Saccharomyces cerevisiae S288C: one gene and its partner. The protein of the gene in region 1 binds, or shares a complex with, the protein of each later gene. Each region holds a gene or a part of one and is shown in the gene's direction. Other genes may lie near its edges. The genes, in order: TRS33 and TCA17.

Region 1 (3,105 bases):
AACTGCAAACGAAATATTAGGACCATTGGAGGAAAGGTTGGTCAGATATGATAATAGTGGATGTTTAGTGAAAAGGGAAGACTTGAATAAAGCGGAATATGTGGATCAGTATGATGCCGAGAGAGATTTTTACCATTCCTTAAGAGAATATATTAATGGCAAAGCAACTGCTTTGGCTAATTTAAGAAAGTCCAGGGGAATGTTAGGCCTATTAGAACCTCCTGCAAAAGAATTACAAGGTATTGATCCAGATGAAACCGTTCCTGATAATGTTAAAACATCTGTAAGCCAACTTTATAGAATCAGTGAAAAATCGGTGAGAAAGTTTTTAGAAATTGCTCTTTTCAAATATCGTAAGGCAAGACTGGAGCCAGGTACTGCTATTGGTGCTATTGGTGCTCAATCCATTGGTGAACCAGGTACACAAATGACATTGAAGACCTTTCATTTTGCAGGTGTGGCTTCCATGAATGTTACATTAGGTGTTCCTCGTATCAAAGAAATTATCAATGCTTCCAAGGTCATTTCTACACCTATTATAAATGCTGTATTAGTAAATGATAACGATGAAAGGGCTGCTAGGGTTGTTAAAGGTAGAGTGGAAAAGACACTGCTATCTGACGTAGCTTTCTATGTCCAAGATGTTTACAAAGACAACTTGTCTTTCATTCAAGTGCGTATTGATTTAGGTACGATTGATAAACTACAATTGGAGTTGACCATAGAAGATATCGCGGTTGCTATAACCAGGGCTTCTAAATTGAAAATACAAGCCTCTGATGTCAATATTATTGGTAAAGATCGAATTGCAATCAACGTATTCCCAGAAGGGTACAAAGCAAAATCGATATCTACATCTGCGAAAGAACCAAGTGAGAATGATGTTTTTTACCGAATGCAACAGTTACGTCGTGCGCTTCCTGATGTTGTTGTTAAAGGTTTACCTGATATTTCTCGTGCGGTTATTAATATTCGCGATGACGGCAAGAGGGAATTATTGGTTGAAGGTTACGGCCTGCGAGATGTGATGTGTACAGATGGTGTCATTGGTTCTAGAACTACAACTAACCATGTTTTAGAAGTCTTTTCCGTTTTGGGTATCGAAGCTGCAAGATATAGCATTATTAGAGAAATTAACTATACCATGAGTAATCACGGTATGAGTGTCGATCCACGTCATATCCAACTATTAGGTGATGTGATGACATATAAGGGTGAAGTGTTGGGTATTACAAGATTTGGTTTGAGTAAAATGAGGGACTCTGTTTTGCAGCTAGCCTCCTTCGAAAAGACAACTGACCATTTATTCGATGCGGCCTTTTATATGAAAAAGGACGCTGTTGAAGGTGTTTCTGAATGTATTATTTTGGGTCAAACGATGTCGATCGGTACCGGTTCCTTTAAAGTTGTTAAAGGTACTAATATATCTGAAAAGGATCTGGTTCCTAAGCGATGTCTATTTGAAAGTCTCTCAAATGAGGCAGCTTTAAAAGCGAACTAAAGTAGTCGTTTTTAAACTTTTTTATAGCATTTGTATTATTTTTCTACCACAGTCATTTAACGTATTTATACATATAAAACTACATGATAAAAACCATGAAACAAAATTTACTTATAAGAAATTTGCTTTCTTCACATTAGTAGAACCAGCGTATCGTTTTCAAAAACTCGCGTCAACGTTTTGAGACCAAAAATGCTAAATATTTTGGAATCTGGTATGCACTCACAAGCTGAGAGTGAAGACCTCATGCCATAAAAGAAAACATACACCGGTTATAAAGTTGGAAGATAAACAATTATGTCCTCTACACATAGTAATAATGTAGGACATCCCCAATCTTCTCCACAAGGTCCACTAACGGAACAACAAAGAGCACAACAGCAATATCAAATTTTTGAGAATTCATTACCAAAAGTAAGTCAATCTGTGTATCAGATGCTGTTGAACGAGATGGTTCCTCTAGCTATGGGCATTGAGAGGCAAATATCAGGCGATGTTATCAGTTCTGATAGCAATGTAACTTCCGAAAATGGTAACATCAACAATATGATAAAGAGACTGAAGATAGAGGAACATCATACAGTAGATATCATACGTTCTCATAACTTGATACATGAGCTGTATAAGGCGGATGAAGAGGAAAAAGAAAAGGTTTTAGCAAGACTGAGGAATATTGGGTTTCAAATCGGATTGAAGCTGTCAGAGTTATTGATATTTTCTAACAACCCAAATTTAAAATTCAAGGAAATGGACCTTCTATTAATAATGAAGTTCATTTGTAGGGATGTCTGGAAACAAATATTTGGTAAACAGATCGATAATTTAAAAACAAACCACAGAGGAACCTTTTACCTTCTTGATTATGACTATCGACCTATTCAATCATTTTCTTTGGAGGAAGATGCAAAAAACGAGGAGTTAAAAATGATAGAACCGTTTTTGGAGATACCTGTGGGAATTATTAGAGGCGTGTTGTCTTCCTTAGGTTATTCATCTGAAGAGGTCATTTGCTTGGCGTCTTTTATCGACAGGCCAACAGATAGGCCTAAAACAGCTTTTCCCAAGGGAGTTAGCTTCCATGTTCAAGTCACAATGCCGCAGTAAAGGTCCGACAGATTTTTGTTCTAAGAATGTACATCGACATATAGATAGATATAAGTGTGTATATAAAAGAACAGGTGACTCCGTTTTCAAAATAATACCCTTACTATAAAATCTTGACAATAATTTCTTTGATCAAGGTACATATAGTCTTTATGATAGTGAAGTGCTTTCGTGGACTCTTCTTAAAGCCCTAAAAGTCTATTGTCATTTCTTTTTTAGTAGGTACGTCATGGGAAGAATATTATTTGGTTGTGTATTTGTATCGTGATTCGCTGCTGTAAGATAGGACTCACTTCTGAGACCAAACTTTGACATGATATCCATGTTTTTTTGTAATATTTGTATCTCGTTATCCATCATTTCCTCAAATTTTGCCCTCCATACCTGTAATTTTTTTCTAATTTCTAGTTTCTGGTCATAGTCAACCTCTTCGTTCCAAGCATACCGGCATTCTTTGCACATTTGTTGAAACCTTTTCATATAATCATAAAGGTAATTTT
Region 2 (3,376 bases), on another chromosome or scaffold:
CTAACTACCCTATTATGGAGGGACGAAGGTGGTCTTTCTGAGGGAAGGAGGAAAAAAAGGTAAGAACCTCTTTTCTTTGTTCCCCATTGAGAGATCGACTGAATATGTTTGGTTTTTTTGGTACTTGATTAAAGTTTACAACGGTACGTATCCACGTGGAGAAGCACATTTCTTTGTATTCTACGATACTACGTATTAAGATTGAATGTACCCATGTATATTCTCGCAGGGTTTCTTCACAGGATTTCGACGTACACCTTTTATACAAATATATATATATATTTATATGTATGCGTAAGAGTCTAAAAAACGTTCACTTTAATTCCTTTTTTGCTTTTACTACTATTGTCTTTCTTCTTTCATTTGTCATCATGCAGTGAATGACTGAAACAATAGAGACAGGTATGAAAAAGAAAATTTTTTTCTTTTCAAACGGTAACGGGGGCAACGCGTCGCGTTCCTGAACAGCTTAATCTATTGCACGTATAAAAGCTGAGAACAATACGCTGACATAGCACCCCATTTTTTTTTCTTATCTTCACTTCAACAACCCCTCATCCGTAATTGTAAATGTCTCTCTCTCCCGTTGTTGTTATTGGAACCGGTTTGGCCGGGCTGGCTGCTGCCAATGAATTGGTTAACAAGTATAACATCCCTGTAACCATCCTCGAAAAGGCTTCCTCGATCGGTGGGAACTCTATCAAGGCCTCCAGTGGTATTAACGGTGCTTGCACCGAGACTCAACGTCACTTCCACATCGAGGACTCCCCACGCTTATTTGAAGATGACACCATCAAGTCTGCTAAAGGTAAAGGTGTCCAAGAATTAATGGCTAAGTTGGCCAATGATTCTCCCCTGGCTATTGAATGGTTGAAAAACGAATTTGATTTGAAATTGGACCTATTGGCTCAATTGGGTGGCCACTCTGTGGCAAGAACTCACAGATCGTCTGGGAAGTTGCCTCCAGGTTTCGAAATTGTTTCTGCCTTATCTAACAATTTGAAGAAATTAGCTGAGACTAAACCAGAGTTAGTTAAGATTAACTTAGACAGTAAAGTCGTAGACATCCATGAAAAGGATGGCTCCATTTCTGCTGTAGTGTACGAGGACAAGAATGGCGAAAAGCACATGGTGAGTGCTAACGATGTCGTTTTTTGTTCTGGAGGGTTTGGCTTTTCTAAGGAAATGCTTAAAGAATACGCACCCGAACTGGTGAACTTGCCAACAACAAACGGGCAACAAACAACTGGTGATGGTCAAAGGCTTCTGCAGAAGTTAGGCGCTGATCTGATTGACATGGACCAAATTCAAGTTCATCCAACTGGGTTCATTGATCCAAATGACCGTAGCTCAAGCTGGAAATTCTTGGCTGCCGAATCCTTAAGAGGTCTTGGTGGTATCCTATTAAACCCTATTACCGGTAGAAGATTTGTCAACGAATTGACCACAAGAGATGTAGTCACTGCAGCTATTCAAAAGGTTTGTCCTCAAGAGGATAACAGAGCACTATTGGTTATGGGCGAAAAAATGTACACAGATTTGAAGAATAATTTAGATTTTTACATGTTCAAGAAACTTGTACAGAAATTGACATTATCTCAAGTTGTTTCTGAATATAATTTACCAATCACTGTCGCCCAATTATGCGAGGAATTGCAAACATACTCTTCCTTCACTACCAAGGCTGATCCGTTGGGACGTACCGTTATTCTCAACGAATTTGGCTCTGACGTTACTCCAGAAACTGTGGTTTTTATTGGTGAAGTAACACCGGTTGTCCATTTCACCATGGGTGGTGCTAGAATCAATGTCAAGGCTCAAGTCATTGGCAAGAACGACGAAAGGCTACTAAAAGGCCTGTACGCGGCCGGTGAAGTTTCTGGCGGTGTTCATGGCGCCAATAGGTTGGGTGGTTCAAGTTTGTTAGAATGCGTTGTCTTTGGGAGAACCGCAGCTGAATCTATTGCCAATGACCGCAAGTAACGAATTTTATAAATGAATCATTTCTAAACGATTTTTTAATAGTATATAAGTAGTATTAATATTATTATTATTTTTTTTTTTTTTTTTTTTTCACTTTCGAAGTTCTGCCGGAAGAGCTCATCGACGGCCAAGAAACATTTTACATAAAAGTTATTGAGTTGAAAATTGAGTAAATATTCTCTCCAAAAATCAAATTGTACGTTTATATCACCAAACTATGAGCTTGAGGCCTTGCTTCGTATCATTGATAGATGAATCTGATAAACCTATATTGATTTACGTCCCTAATGAGGCGGAGAATGAGATGAATGATGTACTCAAATATAACGTGCTTTCTAACATATCGTTAGATTATTTTGAAAGTGCTTTGGTTGAATGGCATTCTTTAGATTCCAAACCTCTTCTGAAGTCAATTTTTCAATTGGAAGGTGTCTCTGTATTTGCTATGTTGATTAAGCAGACGGGCCTGAAGATTGTCATTGGATTTGAACAAAAAAGCCTAAGTGGAGCTGATGATGAATTTGAAGCAATCAATCAGATTTTCGAAACCGTAAGAAAAATCTATATACGTGTCAAATGTAATCCTTTACTTGTTAGCGGTGACGAAAAGTCCATTATAAAAAGCTTGGAAAGAAAATTTGATGAGTTGTTTATTTCAACTGAAGTTGAATTATAAATGATAATTTATTAGTCGATTCTTTCACGAATGAAAGCAAAATTTAATGTCACTGCTTTGGAGTGAGAGCGATTCAGAGAAGTTATTAATGTCTAATATGTCCAACTTGGTGACAGTTTCGCCTTGCCTAATTAGCGGGGATCAGGTGCCGGTAGTATATCTCAGATGACCGTGACAATCAAACTTTCTACTTCATTCAAGTGACTGTCAATTGTCATGCTGTTCATGAATAAATAAGATACGGAGACAATTAAGGCGATCGCTTTGACTCTACTGCTAACGAAAATTGTCCGAATTGAACAGATGTGGAAGCAATCACTATACGTTACTTCATAATGAAGATATTTGTTGGCTTTCCGAGATATAGACTGATCTTTGTCACTTCATATCCGGCACGGCAATTTTTACATGGGATGGCTCGTCATAAAGATACTGCGACCTTTGGAAAGTCTGAAATAAGTGCTAGGTTATGGTTACAACGAGAATTGACAGATATGATGTGATTGTTCACGTATGTACGTATAAAGATATTTATACTACCAAAAAAAAAAAAAGGGTTTTTTTTTATTTCATTATCTAAGTTTCATAGCATTTCCTTCATTAAATTGGCGTTTGTCTCTAGTTTGCGATAGTGTAGATACCGTCCTTGGATAGAGCACTGGAAATGGCTGGCTTTAATCTGCTGGAGTACCATGGAACACCGGTGATCATTCTGGT

What was found.
Region 2: the proteins of TRS33 (region 1) and TCA17 are in contact, whole or in part, in a cryo-EM structure (PDB 7E8T), measured with the Saccharomyces cerevisiae proteins. Residues at the interface, in NP_014758.3 of Saccharomyces cerevisiae: Lys133 (codon at 2,195), Glu136 (codon at 2,204), Leu137 (codon at 2,207), Ile139 (codon at 2,213), Phe140 (codon at 2,216), Asn142 (codon at 2,222), Asn143 (codon at 2,225), Pro144 (codon at 2,228), Asn145 (codon at 2,231), Leu146 (codon at 2,234), Lys147 (codon at 2,237), Phe148 (codon at 2,240), Ser228 (codon at 2,480), Leu229 (codon at 2,483); in NP_010866.1 of Saccharomyces cerevisiae: Glu13 (codon at 2,237), Ser56 (codon at 2,366), Leu57 (codon at 2,369), Asp58 (codon at 2,372), Ser59 (codon at 2,375), Lys80 (codon at 2,438), Gln81 (codon at 2,441), Thr82 (codon at 2,444), Gly83 (codon at 2,447), Glu110 (codon at 2,528), Arg113 (codon at 2,537), Lys114 (codon at 2,540), Ile117 (codon at 2,549), Lys120 (codon at 2,558), Cys121 (codon at 2,561), Asn122 (codon at 2,564), Pro123 (codon at 2,567).

What each region holds. Positions count from the first base shown.
Region 1 is NC_001147.6:538,159-541,263, reverse strand, and holds TRS33 (Trs33p), read left to right. Parts: upstream 1-1,798; coding exon 1,799-2,605; downstream 2,606-3,105. Other genes in the region: DNA-directed RNA polymerase III core subunit RPO31, read left to right, coding at 1-1,501; mitochondrial HMG-box protein CIM1, read right to left, coding at 2,810-3,105.
Region 2 is NC_001137.3:63,992-67,367, reverse strand, and holds TCA17 (Tca17p), read left to right. Parts: upstream 1-2,200; coding exon 2,201-2,659; downstream 2,660-3,376. Other genes in the region: FRD1 (fumarate reductase), read left to right, coding at 571-1,983; seripauperin PAU2, read right to left, coding at 3,278-3,376. UniProt on the Saccharomyces cerevisiae protein: Required, together with the TRAPP II subunit TRS33, for TRAPP II complex assembly or stability, and for proper Golgi localization of TRAPP and the Rab GTPase YPT31.